Neodiprion lecontei: one gene and its partners. The protein of the gene in region 1 interacts with the protein of each later gene in a pairwise test. Links are inferred from orthologs where the notes say so. Each region holds a gene or a part of one and is shown in the gene's direction. Other genes may lie near its edges.

Evidence for each region.
Region 2: the proteins of PAN2-PAN3 deadenylation complex subunit PAN3 (region 1) and PAN2-PAN3 deadenylation complex catalytic subunit PAN2 interact in binary tests that used the Drosophila melanogaster proteins (3 or more experiments, as listed by UniProt). The link is inferred for Neodiprion lecontei from reciprocal best matches to the Drosophila melanogaster genes PAN3 and PAN2.
Region 3: the proteins of PAN2-PAN3 deadenylation complex subunit PAN3 (region 1) and cyclin-K interact in a two-hybrid assay, tested with the Drosophila melanogaster proteins (3 studies listed by BioGRID). The link is inferred for Neodiprion lecontei from reciprocal best matches to the Drosophila melanogaster genes PAN3 and CycK.

The regions. Positions count from the first base shown.
Region 1 is NC_060261.1:2,744,318-2,751,615, reverse strand, and holds PAN2-PAN3 deadenylation complex subunit PAN3, read left to right. Parts: upstream 1-1,803; 5' UTR 1,804-1,908; coding exon 1,909-2,001; intron 2,002-2,656; exon of another isoform or gene 2,657-2,940; coding exon of another isoform or gene 2,941-2,988; intron 2,989-3,137; coding exon 3,138-3,407; intron 3,408-3,676; coding exon 3,677-3,934; intron 3,935-4,116; coding exon 4,117-4,492; intron 4,493-4,584; coding exon 4,585-4,701; intron 4,702-4,777; coding exon 4,778-5,017; intron 5,018-5,177; coding exon 5,178-5,460; intron 5,461-5,581; coding exon 5,582-5,936; intron 5,937-6,062; coding exon 6,063-6,182; 3' UTR 6,183-6,786; downstream 6,787-7,298. Other genes in the region: nuclear pore complex protein Nup205, read right to left, coding at 29-445, 530-693, 973-982. UniProt on the Drosophila melanogaster protein: Regulatory subunit of the poly(A)-nuclease (PAN) deadenylation complex, one of two cytoplasmic mRNA deadenylases involved in general and miRNA-mediated mRNA turnover.
Region 2 is NC_060263.1:1,323,203-1,327,812, reverse strand, and holds the start of PAN2-PAN3 deadenylation complex catalytic subunit PAN2, read left to right. Parts: upstream 1-1,581; 5' UTR 1,582-1,769; coding exon of another isoform or gene 1,770-1,785; 5' UTR 1,786-2,043; coding exon 2,044-2,113; intron 2,114-3,458; coding exon 3,459-3,646; intron 3,647-3,768; coding exon 3,769-3,938; intron 3,939-4,028; coding exon 4,029-4,149; intron 4,150-4,309; coding exon 4,310-4,506; intron 4,507-4,610. UniProt on the Drosophila melanogaster protein: Catalytic subunit of the poly(A)-nuclease (PAN) deadenylation complex, one of two cytoplasmic mRNA deadenylases involved in general and miRNA-mediated mRNA turnover.
Region 3 is NC_060264.1:32,146,067-32,150,700, forward strand, and holds cyclin-K, read left to right. Parts: upstream 1-1,775; coding exon 1,776-1,994; intron 1,995-2,075; coding exon 2,076-2,207; intron 2,208-2,305; coding exon 2,306-2,411; intron 2,412-2,492; coding exon 2,493-2,550; intron 2,551-2,648; coding exon 2,649-2,821; coding exon of another isoform or gene 2,822-2,852; intron 2,853-2,926; coding exon 2,927-3,070; intron 3,071-3,213; coding exon 3,214-3,599; 3' UTR 3,600-4,105; downstream 4,106-4,634. Other genes in the region: uncharacterized protein LOC107217142, read right to left, coding at 2,812-2,852, 4,327-4,497, 4,603-4,634.

The DNA.
Region 1 (7,298 bases):
GTGCTATTACCAAATACAAATTTTTTACCTTCGTCGGATCCATATCCTCCAAAAGGTTCAGGATCCTGTCCAGCAGGCCGTCTTCCTGCATTTTGTTGGTATACTCCGTAATTTGCTTGGTAAGCGTAACGGGTGTGTCGAGAACCCAAGTATGACCATTTCTGGCTTGAACCAAAGTCCTCAATGTTGAGGTGAGAGCTTTCTTCCCGTCATAGTACAGAAGGACAGCAGTTAGGCCTCGTGTCAATCCAGGATGATGCGGCATTTGAAGTTGAGCAGTACAGAGTAAGTCAAGAGCCATAAATTCATTTAGTTCGTACATGTCGGATAATATAATTGTCTCGTCAACCAATTCTTTGGACAAAACCTGGTGACCTAGTCCAGGCAGAGTTATACCCTCCGTCACTGCATTTTTAATTTCCTCACGACTCTTTGCATTCTTTGCCTAGAATGAGGATATGATAAACTTAGCACATGGCAATCAAGGTCTCCAAGTCGCAGCTACTACATGTTGAAATATTATGCTTACAGGATTGCTTAGGAGATTTAGAAAATTCTGTCGGTGATTGCGAAGCGCTTCCATAAATTCATGGTATTGTGGATCGTGGGAACTGGGTGCAGAGGTAATATATTGATCGACGAGACTCTGGAGTTCCTTGTAAGGAGTCCACATGTCCTCCGTACTTGTCTTTTCTGTAATAGTAAATGGTGTCGATGTGACAAAACTTAACCTAGGAAAATTCAAATTCACGCTAAAACGAATTATCAACCGAAACGTGAATTGTATCACTGAACAAGCATACAAAATATGAAGGTAAATACAACCACGTATTTTGACAGACAATTGATCATAAACGTTGTTGCATTTGTACCGGTGATGAAGTTGGGTAAAACTAGGTTATGTCACGTTACAACCGGGAGAAGAGTTCCAGTAATTAATGTAGAATAAGTTAGACGCATACGCAGACCTACCTTCAGTCATCCTTGCGCTATTTAAACTAAACTCAGAAGGTCAAATTCAACAATCACTGAAGAAAGAGACAAACACTCATTCGTGAATTGGCGGTTGGCGCTGATTTGTAAAACCGCGTGAACATGGCTGCGTTCATGATACATGGTCGCGAGCGAGCAGTGGTCGCCAACTTAAAAAAGGTAAATAATTGATCAATGCCACCCACTTAAAAAAAAAAGAACCTTCTTCATCAATGGAACTCGGTTGGGTCCAAGCGTCATTGGATTTCACCACTACGTTACTCAATCCGATCGCTAAATGCAGTTTGGATCAAATTTATAACAAAAAAATGCGCCAAACTTCAACCAAATATATATTTGTAGCGCTTTTTTGATTTATGTTGCTATTTTCGTTGGCCACTCGACGAAAAAACGTCATTACTCGATGTGTTCCGAGACTCGTCAATGCGAATAATAGGCGATAAATGCAACGATTTATCAGCTCCACGCAATCAAAAACGATGATTCGTTCGATTTTAAATTTCCAAAATGAAAAATAACGATCGACAAGCTCGTGGTTGAATATAAAATTTGATAAAAGATACCGGAAATGGCCGAGGTCTAAATTGTATTTCGAAAAATAAAGTATATACGTATGCGAAGCACGACTTCCGGAAGGACAGCTGCGATCGAAGTAAGAGCAGCAAGTTGTCCGTGAGTGTAGACAAGTGTAGCATAAAAACACAGTGAGATCGGTATCACGGAGTACGCTTTCACCTTTGTCTGCGGGAAGGAAAAATGTTTTGAACGGTCAGTACTAAAGTATATTAATCTAAGCTTGAAAGAATCTCATTTATTTGTTTTTTTTAATAACCCAAACGCCGTCCGTCGCAAAGCGTCTGGAGCGTCTGTTTTATTTTCGCGCCGTCCTCAGACGCGACGTCACTGACAACTCGGATGGGTTATGTTGGTCCACCATATCTTCGATGTTTTTATAGACTTCGGTTCTACATTTTGGAAAAAATTTTCGCCTCGCGTCGCGTTTTTGAGGTGCTCAGTTATGTTTAAACTTTTACAATTTTTTTTCGTAAAAAGACGAACTTTTTTTTAACGTTGTTGAAAACCAAAATTAACCACTTTTGTCGCGATTCTGTGTGTGCATTGTCAAAATCAGCTGCTTCATTGTTAGTTTATTACTACATTGTTCGAATCAAATCCTGCTGCATTTTCTTGACCCCCCTCAATTTTTAGAGGCAACAAGTATATCACACACTTGTGTACATATTCTCCATGTTGTTGTCTCTAGTCTGATATAGCGAAGGCTAGAATTACACACTAGGTTCAAAAGTTCTGTGATTTATATTCTTTTTTCTTACTTTTCCTTAACTTCAATAGAATACAAATTCCATTTATTAATGCTTTTTCTACCCTGAACGATATTCTATTTTCAGGAAAACCATCAACTTTCACTGTTGCCTTATGTTAAATTCAAGCATCGATGTTTTCGATAACACAGGTTCTACTACTGTACCTTTAATCGTCTCACCTTTACGCGCAACAATTACTGAATATAAAACAAATTTGCATGTTTTTATATTTCTCTTTCTGCACCGTTCTGAACAGATTCGTTTGGTTTTTTTTATTCAACGATTAATTAAGTCACAAAGTAGACAAACTTGTTCTAATGATCACCGTTCATTTTCAGGGTTTACAAGTCGAACATATTGGAAAAAAATAGAAGCAGCACTGTTAAAGAATAAAAAAATAAAAAATAAAAAAAAAGAACAAAAAAAAAACGAAAAGAGAAACTTGAAATTATCCTGAGAAATTTTAGAAAAATGGAGTAAAAGAAAGACTGGATATGAGATTAAATAACTTAGGTGATAATAAACAGAAGCAATTTTCCAGTGTGTTAAATGAAGCGAAAGATATTCTTCGACGCAGCTTCAATTGTCTAGAGACGAAGTTGCCTGCCTACGCGAGGTGAAAATGCGACGTCCGTCGAAAGGCAGTAAAACCGTGTCGATAAAGAACTTTGTTAGTAAAATTTTGAGGAGAAAGAAAGAAAAAAAAGAATATTAAAATTATCATTGAATACAAACAAGCTAGTGTAATTTATGCAACTTGTTAAAATATGGAGGAAATGCTATTCGGCAATGATTTTAAAATGTTGAGATTCTTTCCAGCATAGGCAGGCTAGCTTAACGTTGGAAGTCTTGGAAATTCTCTCTCTAGTGACAACGGAAGATAAAGAAAGAAAGAACAGCTCTGGCAGCTGCGAAATTTTTAACAACGAGGACTTCAAAAGCACGAAGGCGGGAGGATCGAAAAATCTAACGGAAAACGGAACGGTGGTCAATGCGGTGGATGGAAGAGAGATGGATCCGTCAATGTTTGTCACTTACACCCCTCAAACAAATGGAGTCCCACAGGAGTCCAAACTTGCAACCTACATGGTAACAAACAGATTTCATTATTTTCGTATAAAAATGAGGAGTCGCACTCGCAAACTAAAATTAAGAAGGTCTAGTTAATTTTCACCTTGAACTCTGAAAAGATAACATCCTAAATTGTAACATAGTGCTAATCGATCAAGATTTTCCGTTAATTGTACTGTTTTTCCATTGATTTTTACACAGTAATTTTGCCTTTAGAAAATATTTATAACATCGAGTTATAGGTAATAATTTTCACACTTAATAATCGTGACGTTTTATGAATCTAGAACTGCCAAAGCTCTGGAGTTGCCCTAAACACAGCTGTAGTGACAAAACATCTCTCCGGCCTTTCACTGGATGCACAAAAAAAAACTACTACCAGTCCGGAATTTGTGCCGGGACGAGGAATTGCAGGTAGCAATAGTAGCTCGCCAAATATATTCAACAGCTCCTATCATTCCCAGGAGAATGTCGGAGGAACAACTTATTTCTACCTCGGGACGTCGACAACGGAAAATGTGTCAAGCGAAGAAGGAGTCGAAGCTGTAAGTTCACCAGACAGAGATTTGAATTTCGCCTCCTTAGGATAAATTTTAACTCACGTAAACGAGAATCAACCACTAATGAGGCGAAAAAGTTTGTATTTAGTAACCGTAGTATATTTTGAAACTTTTGTGTTCCGGTAAAGCGACTACACAGAAATCGTAACGAGAAGTATTTCTTCTAGATTGGAACCGCTGGCGCAAGTCAGATAGGATACGTTTATCCAGGGACCCCCTCTCACCTGCAGACTGCCAAAGCAGCAAAATCTCCCGCATCGAGTAGTCCCTCGGCTCCTTCGACGCCCCCTCCACAGGCCGTTCCGAGTTTTTTTGTCAGCGAAGGCCTGCGACTGGACATTCTCCAAAAAAATGCACTAACGTTAGCTCAGCCAGACCCGGTGCAGTTTCCAGATTTGCCAAACGAAGTAGATAACTACCATGAATTATGCCCTCTCGAACCCATCCATAAATCCACATCGACTGTCCTCGGCTATCAAACCTCCACGTACAAAGCGACCAGTTTAAAAACCGGGACTCGCTATTGCCTGCGCCGAGTACACGGTGAGTCGTGAAGCATATTTATTGCTCTGGTTGGATGGTAAGCGTTATTGTACACGAGCAATCTTACTGTAACTGAGAATTATTCATTTCAGACTTTAGACTTGCCAATACAAAATGTATGGTCTTGGTCGATATGTGGAAGCGGTTGACGCACACTAATTTGGTCCAACTGCGAGAAGTCTTCACCACCAAGACCTTTGGTGATCATTGTATGTACCCAAATATTTTTCTCCCAGCTTTTTCATATTAATCTTTTTTCATTTCACTAAATTAGGACTATTTCAGCCATGGTATTCGTCTATGACTACCACCCTGGGTCCGAGACGCTCTTGAACAAACACTTCTCTGCTACCGAGCTCAACGGCTACTCAGATCCGTTTTCGTCCGACCCCAACGCTCCCCGTCCTTACAGCCACACAAAGAACACCATATTGAGACAACAGCACAGCAGTATGCTGCCAGAAAGCGTTATTTGGAACTACATTATACAGCTGACAGCTGCTCTCCGGGTTATTCACGCAGCTGGTAAGTGATTATTTCATTTTTTGAACATTATTCAGACTTATAGTAACAGTGAGCAGATTTCATATGGCTCTACAATCGCAAAGTTACAATAGAAAGAAGTAAATTGCGAATAAATTCGAAGTTTTTATTATATTATCGTTAGTTTAAAAATTTTCTTCAGGTATTGCGTGTAGATCTCTGGACCCTACAAAGATAATTCTCTCGTCACGAAGTCGGCTGCGTCTCAGCTGCGTCGCGATTCCCGACGTTGTGACGTTTGACGGTACAGCTGCGAATCCGTTGGCACTAATGCCGCATTATCAACAAGAAGACTTGCTCGCATTAGGAAAACTTGTGCTAGCTTTGGCTTGCCGTAGTCTCCTAGCGGTGCATCGTGACAACATGCAGGCCTCCCTGGAACTGGTCGCTCGCACCTACTCGTCTGATCTCAGAAACCTTATATTGTACGTATTTATATTCCATTCTGACATTTTTGCCTATTCTCTTGACCTGAATACGTTTTGTCTAACTTTATTGAGTAGTTTACTCTCGCTCCAGTTACGATAAAGAAATTCGTCATTTCAGGTACCTGCTATCTTCTCAGCAGCGGAGAAGCGTCACTGATTTAATGCCAATGATTGGAGCTCGGTTTTATACTCAACTCGACGCCGTCCATCTTCGTTCAGACGTTCTGGAAGATGAACTTGCCAAAGAGCTAGAAAACGGCAGACTGTTCAGACTACTCGCAAAACTGGCGACCATCAACGAACGGCCAGAGCTGAACATGGAGCCAACGTGGGCTGAAACCGGCGATCGTTACATGCTGAAACTGTTCAGAGACTACGTGTTCCACCAAGTAGCGGCGGATGGAAGACCGTGGTTGGACATGGCCCACGTTGTATCTTGTCTGAACAAACTCGACTCTGGATCTCACGACAAGGTGAGTATTTAGATTCGAGTGATTAGAGTGTTAGATTCAGAAATAGATAAACGGTTGGCATTGCGAAGAAATTTCAAACATTGATCAATACGTCACTTCAATCGATCCTCGATATTTCCTGTTTAGATTTGCCTGATGTCGCGGGATGAGCAAAGCGTGTTGGTCGTTAGTTACGCCGAGTTGCGACAGTGTTTGGAAATGTCATACGCCGAGGTTGTGCATTCTGCGAAGCTGGACGCCGCCTAGGCAATAAAAAAAGCATTGAGTCCAACAGCGGCACAACAGCATATACTCCGAACCATCATTGTGATATCAACAGTTAGCGCTACTACAATTTCTACATTACTCAGGATCGAGGATGATCCAGAGTTGTGGACATGGATTTGGAAGTTCCGGACAAGTCGAAGCGGATGGTGACGCGTGGAGTGAGCTTTTTGATGTGTTTTTGAGATTAAAAACGAAATAAGAAAATAACAATATAAGGAAAGGGATGAAGGAATAAAAGGAGGTGGAGACGACGAAGAATAACGGCCCAAAGGAACGCATCGATTGATGATGCGTTAATTTGAATATAAAATAGGTACAGAAGAAAATCATTAAATGATGTAAAAATCGAAATAATAGTACATATTTCAACATTCAATGAAATCCGCTATGTTGCTACATATACGTATGTACACACAAACACACAGAACTTAATCATGCGCTAAAATCTTAAAATGATACTACTACAACCTAATACACGGAGGCTCAACACAGCCTGTGTATAGGATAGAGATCATAGGTTTTAGGATACAGCTGGTAAGCATTAATTTTGAAATAAATGTTTATTTTTGAAAGCAATCTTAAACGCACGTCTTGTTACTTTTTTCGCAAGTTTTCATTGTTCGAACAATGTCCATGTTTCCATCGTAGGGTCAGAGTCGGGCTAGGTTCAAATTACAGTCGAAAAGAAACGAGATTTGAGAGAAAGAAAATAATTTCCCACATCCGAAATCTCGTTTTTCATTAGCTGTAATTTGAGCCTAACCCGATTCCGACCCTACCATGGGAACATGGTGAATAAATTATCCCCCTCCCCTCGTTTTGAGCCGATAACAACTACGATCTGCAATATCGATTGCCGGTAAGAATGGAATCACGTCGGAGCGGGGCGGTTGGATATTAATCATTTGAATACTCCTCCGGCAGCCCGGTGACAGCGAATTATTGTCTCCTCAGTTACTTCCGCCGCCTTGTTCTCCTCTATATCTATGTATGTACGTAATAAAATACGTACATACGTACAACGTACGCGTGCATAAATAGGTAGATGTAACGTTGTAGCCGCATGTAGTGCATTACCTCCCTCCCACCCTTGCG
Region 2 (4,610 bases), on another chromosome or scaffold:
CTTTAAAGCGAACTATCCACAAATAAGTTTATTACTCACTCGACTGTAGGAGTTGGCAGCTGATACGGGAATGGTATACTCGTATTATAGCGAAGATGGTCAGTCCCAAGAGATTTTGAATACGAACAGGCCTGTGTTCGAAATCCGGATGAAAAGAGGATCTCGCAAAGAGTGATACTGATGAGGTCCAGATACAGATGGAGAGAGTGACCAAATCTCGAATCTGTAATGAGTAATGTAGTATATATTATATCGATGTGAAAATGTATTTTATGAGTACTCTAAGTTTCCAACACTCGATATTTACTGTATAATATAAAAATATCTGTAGACATATTATATTTCTACATAGAAGTATACTCTAACTCGACGTATGTACGAAGCTATTTCACGGTTATAACGATGATGAATTTCACCAATGCAGGTACTAGTAACGATTCTTCTGCACATGCAAATGTCCAAAACGCTTTTTACGCAACCTGCGACACTATGCTCTAACCATTGTGCGTACGTATATTGTTGTAATCACAACGAAAAGTCAATGTGATGCAGTCCGAATGCCCTGGTGACTACAGCCAGCAAATATTACGAGGTTGAAGTTAGTAATGTTATCGTAACAAAACATTAGGGAAGCATCACAATTTTCCTTATTTTAGAGTTATTTTGAAGGAACTAAGATGTCGAAATTTGAGAATGTTTTGTTTTATTACGGTTCGATGAATTGCAGACAACTTCAATATCGCTAAATAACCGTTTTTTCTCATCATGAACCCATACGATAACGTTACCAACTTCAATATGATCAAATGTTTCCAACTGTAATTTTCTTAAATGTATACATGCTCATAAACGAATAATATATTACATGAATGTATTTTATCAAGCACGGAATTAAAGAAGACTCTAATTATCCAATAATCGTGAAATGCAAGATAACAATTGTTTGTATTGAGCTGTATAGATACATGTTTTTTTTTCATTCCCGAAAGCAACTGGTTGTACCCGTTCTAAAAGACAAGATTTTCCTTAAATACAAACAATCACCTTACGATTTATTCTACTCACATCAGAACGAGATTTTTCGGTTTCCATTGTTGATCTAACGGCGACTAGTCAAGACCATTTATGAGTGTGTGTTTTGACGAAATAACGACAGCGATTTCATGCATCAGCTTGAAACAAAACAAGGTCTCCTTCTGTACAACCTGACGTTAGGCGCTACACGTTGTTGCTCGCGTTGCAGATGTTTAGGAGCAAAGAAACGCTTAAGAAGCAAAGCTACGTGAAATAAGTACGTGGGCCTGCTTATAACAGACGATGAGAATCGTATGAGGAAGTACGCGTAATATATTTTCGCGTAAGATCTACTTTCTGTTATTTACCTATCGTCCCGTGGCTACATATGAAAGTAAATATTGTCCCTCGACGCGTGCTGAACAAACATCGACAACTTGAAGCACCGAAGTAAATAAGAAATCCAACCGACGCAGGCGCAGTTCGATCGCGCGTGAGTCGAGAAGTCGAAGCTAGGTGACGCCACGTACAAGGCTGAACTGCCTGAAGTCGGTTGGCGTTGCCGTTGGTGTTTCTGTAGGTGAAATGAAGGCGCAGAAAAGGTGTTTGTAGCGATGAAGCTGAACGAGAAGAACCAACGGTGAAGAGGGAAACAAACGTCGCGCGTAAAGTGGTCCGAAGTAGGAGAAAAGAGATTGTTAAATAAATGAGAGTGACGTGCGCTAACGAGGTCAAAAACAAACGAAAGATGTGCAATGTCGTGGATAAACTGTAAGCAAGACCATGATCAGTACCGTATTTTAACTATTCTCGTTTAGAAATTATTACCGGAAGTAGGTCGCTCGTTTGTTGCACAGTTGCCAAGGCGACTGACCACCGATGGTGGTCTATTGAATATATTTAAGTGCGTGCACCGTCAACACCGAAATGTGCTACTGATTCGTTAGCCATTGCGACGAACACGCTTGCCAAACGGGGAGATATCCCCATGATAGAACCTAGAACGCGGCCGAACCGAGGATCGCTATAATGGACTATTCGGTTCTTGGCCACTACGATCCTTCCGTTGAGGTCGTGGCGGGCGACCAGGAGCTGATCTGTGAGTTACGCGCCAATGACGCGTTGTTTTGACAGACGTAGATCCGCACGCACGATTCCAACGACAACATCCACTCTCCGCTTCCCCGATTTCTATCACCCAATTAGCCTCAGCATGCCGCTCTCCGTTACATCCACTCCACTCCACAAATTAGAGACAAGATACCAAATTTTTCTACATTTATACCGAGGTTGAAATTTTCCTCACTCGACGAAGCGATGACAGCGGTCACCTGATCAGCTATTCATTTGTTTTATTCGCTAACTTCACTCAGCTTTGACTGTGTCACGTACGCGCTCCGGCTTTCTTTTTTCTACCCCCGGATGTTCGACCATCTGACCATCTCAGTATCTCACAATAACCTCAAAATGCAGTCTAGCTGGAGCAATTATGTCAATGAATAAACTGTACCTTTAATTCTTAGAGTAAATTGCGTTTTCTCTTGCTCCCATCTTATTGGTGCAATCATATTTCGAAAATTTGGTTTTGGACCGTTTGATTTCGAAATTTGAATCTGTAACGTATCTTTTCATCAGACTGAAGTTTGTAACGGTATTGTAATTATGCATCTTCAGAAAACCTTGTTATTTTTCAACTTTAGAGGATTAGAAATTCAAGTAACTGTTAGTAAAGCATGAACAAACTCAGATTTCGTAAATTCAACTTCTACAGTCATTCTAAAGATACAAAACAGTTATTTTTTGTTTCAACTTTCCGATACAGTAACGTTACTAACTTCAGCCTTGGAACTTTTCACTGTTATTCATTATCTTATTCGATGTTAAGATCTAGCGCTTAATTGACCAGCTTGTACAACTTACATTTGAGAGACATTTCTCGGTTTAGATACTGTATTGTAATAGGCCCTGGTATTGACTGTTATAAATTTCAATTAATTGCATGCATATAATATACACGTATTACAAAGATAACAATTCCCTTATTGTAACAAGTATCGTAGACGTAAAAGCGTACTGCACGATATCTCTTCCGTTCAATTTCTGTATTTTTTATTCTTTGTTCTTTTGTGAGAGTGATTTATGTAAATTACTGCATGCCGTTTTACAGTGTGTTTTTTTCCATTAAAGAGAAAGGATTTTTTGATCGTTAGTAAGTTAAAAATGACAATACCATTCGCTTTGAGGTTCACTTATCTTTACAGGATAATTCTTACCACAACATTAAACCACAGATAAAGAATTTCACTGATGGCTAGAATTATTGTTAACAAACAATGATGAATCAGATTCATTACTTTCATTTAGAATCATCTTGTTACTTAATAAAATTTAGAAGAATTTCCTCTATTTTGATCTTTGCCAATAACTGTAAACTGAAATTGCAGGGGAAGAATCAAACTATGACTTATCAAGCGAGGGGTTTGTGCCTGCGGCAGAACAGTTTGGCGAGGAATTTGCAGGTGCGGAATTCCAAGAGACTAGAACCTTATTGGCCGATGGAGGTGATAGATTCGGTGTTTCCACCCTCACCTTTGACAATGCCGAAGAACTCATGTGGATGGGAAATCAAGGGGTACAAATCAGTCTGAACCAATCTATTCTGCCGCAATAAAACGCAGATCTTACACCAATATCCGATTGAATTTCCATGAAGAGAAAAATAATATTAACATGTATTTTCAATTACTTATCAAGGGTCACGTGACGTCTTACTATGGGCCTGGCCTCCAGAAATACACGTCGTTTCAAGTGCATGCCTCACAAGAAGTCCGACATATCCATCCGATTGACGAAGGAATCCTTGTGCTCACGCAAAGTATGCTTCGTTGTCAGCTACGGCGTGGCATACCGATATTTACTCACACGTACGTTTACTTTACTACAATCCTTTGAGCAGCATTTCGGCATTCTTCAGTCTGATCACATTTTTCATTCGAAATGTAATCGTATAACAGGTCCTCAAACATGATAGACATGCAATGCATGCTTCAAACATCACCTGCGAGACTACTTATGGGAGGTCATCAAAAAAAAATTATTGATTTCAATCTCACCAGAGGGAAAGAAACTGGCCTGGTAAGGAAATTTTTGTCAGACGTTTAATAGGCATAGTGGCTTTATACTCGACAAGTATGCATTTTCGTAGCGTGTGAAGCTTTAAAACTATCCGATATTGACTATGTCTCTTACTTCGGTAGAAAAATTGAATAACGCGAAACTACACTTTGGTTTTTAGGTACACGTCGGCGATCACGGTTGTGCAATATTGAGACAGCACAGCCGTCTTATATGCGCAGGCAATCCTGCTGGGAGAATAGACCTTCGGGATCCAAATACTCTGTCGATAGAACACACTTTAGACACCCACAGTGGCTCCCTGAGCGATTTTGATGTACAAGGAAATTATCTAGTTACTTGTGGATTTAGCAATAGGTGAGCCTTTTATTTTCGGAGTAAAGAATCAGTGAAATGTAATTGCATTTCTGTAAGAAGTTAGTTACATAAAAAAAAAATACGCATTTTACTTCAAGACTAAA
Region 3 (4,634 bases), on another chromosome or scaffold:
ATCCGGAAAAAGGAAGTTTCAGTCGGACCAAAGTTAAAGCGGTTTTTGATAATCTCTTTGCTATTTTTTTTTTTTTTTTTTGAATCAATTTTTCAAAACAAATCTACGCCGCATATTGTTAGATGCACCCATCGAAAATAAACAATAACAACAGTTTGTATCGATCTGCGGTTGAAAATTTTTTTGCTAACTATGCTGGTATTACAGAAAGCATACTGACCATATCCTCACACGTGTCGGTAAATAGATTTTTGTTCCTTCTATCACCACAAATTCCTCACAAGGTTGGCTCTCTCATCTAAGTTTATATCTCTGGGATAGTACTGCACTCTACACATAGAATTATAAAGATAGACTAAGCGCTCCTGTACGAGGCACTGACAATTACATATAAAGGACAGAGATATACCGGGAGGACTGCTCTTTCTTTTCAATCGGCGTCATGGTGGGAGACAACGGAACAGTGGAAGTGGAACAGCTATAGATACAGGCGCATAATTTCACCTCATCCCCTCTACCGCCTCGATCCGCGCCACAAATATCGTCAGGGAGAGAAAAGGAGTACTCCCGGCATATTTCTGTCCTTTAAATGTTTGATTCAAGCAGCTCATAAGAGCGCTCAGTCTATCTTTATAAGTCTATGACTTTACACGGCGGCTGCACCGAAAACCTTCAATGCCAGCCAATACTAGAACGTTGACTGAAAATCACTGATCTCTACTATAGGCAGAGATCAGTGCTGAAAATATCCTCAGTCAACGCTTCGTGATAATATTGTATAGGGGCAAGACCGTGGTCGCGGCCAATTCGTAGTAGACTGGTAATGCCACCGCCATCTTATATTTTGTTACATTTCACAACTACCAGTTGATTCATGGCGTTCGCTCTTATAGCTTTGATATAAAGTGGTTTAAAGTGTTTGTAAGCAAATATGTCCAGAAAAGCAAACTGCTATGTATTAAATTGTTCTACCGTAACATCTGTACGGCATAGGTTTCCAAAAAATGTAAGAGATGTATTTCTTACATGGAAACATCGTGCTCAACACCCGAGTTTTAGCGAACTTAGCGCAAACATATTATGTGTAAGACATCAAATATAAACTAGTCTAATTGAATCATCTATTTAATCACCCACCTTTTAGTAATAATTTTATAATACGTGAAAAAGTATTCCTTACTCTAAATTCGATTTTGCCGCTACCAATTCCCTATTAGTCTCGTTAGTACCGATTGCAACCATGGCAAGGTGAGTGGCGCTGCCTACAGGAAAACTTGTCCCCCACCTCGGAGGACTGCAGATACGCTTCTATAGTTCTATTTAGAATTGTGGTTCCAGCGTAAGTAGTTTATTTTCCACTATTTACAATTGTTCGCGTTAAGTGGTTCAAATAATGAGTGTATATGTTAGTTTAACGCGTAATTTTGAAGCACAGAATTTACGAAGAATAGCCAATAAATACTTTTGCTGATATTGATTAAAAAATTCAAAATGTGATTGTTCTGATTATGGTGAACTATTCTAACCTGCAAGATAGGCGCAAAGCCTGACTTAACCCGTATGTGTTCAGAATCTGAAACCCATTAGCCTTCGGTAATCATGTTTCGCAAGTGAATCGCATTCAAATATATTTTGAAAATATTCTCAAACAGTCCGAAATCTTTAACTAAGTATTAAAGGGCAGTCAGTCAAACTTTGATAAGTGTAATTTCGTTCAAAGTTTTCTTGAATGAACACAAAGAAAATATCTTTATAAACTTATATAGACATTCAAAATGCCGTGCTGGTACTACGAGAAAAAAGAGCTCCGCAATACACCATCGATTCAGGATGGTATCGACTACGAGACAGAGTGTCGATACCGCAAGGAAGGCGCTAGGTTCATTATTGACACTGGAACGAAGATGGACCTTGGATATAACACTATGGCGACCGGTGTTGTGTACTTTCACAGATTCTACATGTTTCACTCGTTTAAGAATTTTCCTAGATATGTAAGTGCATATTCAAACTGCTTTAGATTTAGATTTACTCTATGCACAGATTCATATTTAATTCTTCATTATCTTACACAGGTCACAGCCTGTTGTTGCTTATTTCTTGCCGGAAAGGTTGAAGAAACACCTAAAAAATGCAAAGACATTATAAAAACTGCTAAGACGTTACTTAGCGATCAAAAGTTTCTGACTTTTGGAGAAGATCCAAAGGTGCGTGATTTTCAAGCCTTGAATTGATTTGTAGATGGCAATTTATTCAATTTGTTATTTTGAAACTTTACCAACATTTATTTTTATTGTATTTGCAGGAGGAAGTGATGACACTGGAAAGGATTCTTTTACAAACAATTAAATTCGACTTGCAAGTCGAACACCCGTATAGCTACCTATTGAAATATGCAAAGTGTCTGAAAGGCACGTGTTTTCTACATGCGATATCGATATAAAATTTTTATCGCTATCTAATCACAGCTATTATTCTTCTCGACTTTTCAGGTGATAAGAACAAACTACAAAAAATGGTGCAAATGGCGTGGACGTTTGTAAATGACAGGTGTAACTTCAACAATTTTCACTTTAATTTTTCCTGAAAACTTTCATATTAATTGATTATTTAGCTTTAACATATTTTCTTGCACTTTACCGTTACAGCCTCTGTACTACACTCTCCTTGCAATGGGAACCGGAAATCATAGCCGTTGCTCTCATGTACCTTGCTGGTAAATTGAGCAAATTCGAAGTTGTCGACTGGAACGGAAGGCTCCCGAAGCATCTCAGATGGTGGGACATGTTCGTCGAAGACGTGACCATGGATTTACTTGAAGGTTCGAAGATGATTGTAGTATAGGTCTATAACTGCAAACATCCATAACATAACAACTGTTACAGGCTCCAACATGTTTGCTTAAAATCAATCTTGTCAATTACAGATATTTGCCATCAAGTTTTAGACCTATACTCGCAAGCAAACAATGCGAAGGCACCGGATTCTCCGCCGCTTGTGTCGACTCATGAAGGAAATAGAGAATGGGCCACAATACCCACTGCTAACGACGTTGCCGCTAGTGCTCCAGGTATATCCTAACATATTTTATCATTCAATTATAATTTTCGAACAAACCGAATATTAAATCTTACACGGCAAAGCTATTGTTCAATACTATTTCAAATGAAAGAAAATTTGTCAAACGTTTGTTAATAATTATCTTATTTACAGCAACACCGAATAAAATTTCAAAAATTGAAGTTACCTCCAGTACCGTAAACGGCTCCTCAAACGCGGATGCTACCGATGGTTCAAAGCCAGTTGAAATACCGGCTCACTTTCCTCCGTACCCCGCTACTTTTACACCATCTTCGACGGCCTATCCCCCTGTATTCCCGCCGACAAATATTTCCGTTCCACCGCCGTCCGTCACGACGATTAATCACATCGTTTCGGCTATGCATCCCTTCAATTCATCAGGTGCAATTCGACCGTCAGCACCAGCTCTCGCTCCACCCACGTTCCAACCCTTTCCATACCCTGCAGCGACAACATATTTTCAACCTGGGAACCCAGCACCACCATCTACGACACAGAGAGCTTATTACCCGCCCTAACAGACCGACGATTCCTAGGTTTACGATGTAGAATTACGGTTAGGTTTATGCAAATTGTGAACTTTGTACCGGAATCCCATGTTGATGTTGTTATGTACTCGTTTTCCGGTCATGCATGAAATTCATTTTGTAAAAAATTGCTAGCAATTTATTATTGATTCATAAATCAATATCTAGGTAAAAAGAATATACTAAATGATATCATAGATGAAGAAAAGCGTGGCATTAAGCAAGCGATATTGCTAAATTTAAGCAATAGTGACAGGTACGAAAAACCGTCTCTCCTACTACAGTCGACCATTATCTCTTATCAATAGTAGTTTCATTTCTTTACAATAGATCAAATACATTTGATTTTCAATCGCTTCGGATACAGCTGTATGGAAATTTTTTATAAATACTATAAATCAGTAAATTACAATTAAATACATATGTAAAATAATCGCCAAGGTGTTGATCATTTTCACAAAGTGTACAATATCATATTAAAAATTCAGGAATATCAATTGCTATTATTGATAATAAAAGTGAGATATGTACCAACAAAATATTGACATGTCAACAATCTCTAACTTCAATCCAATCTCAAGATGTCCCGCTTCTGAGAGTCCAAGCAAGTATAAAATTATTCGAATCACAAGAAAATGAGGTACGGAAATAATAATTTTTATTACAAAGTTTATCAAAGAAGGCACAAACGACATTATGATCTACATGTACAAATTACCTCTGCTGCTAAAACTACTCTGCTTGAAGACTGGATCGTGTAATAGACTACCTGGAATGGCAGCAAACAATTTCACCAAGGGCATAGCTGTCTCCGAATCGAGTAGAAACTCTTCCACGTAAAGTACGTACAGCACAGCAGAGAGTTCGAATATTTCAGCATACGACATTACTGGAATGTGAATAATTTTATCGGTTGAGGAAAATGAATTTTCCCACACGGAACTGATGGCAAAAAACGGTTGGCCATTTAAGATATAATATTACAAATACAAACCTCCAGCTGCAATTCCATGAACTATATTGGGT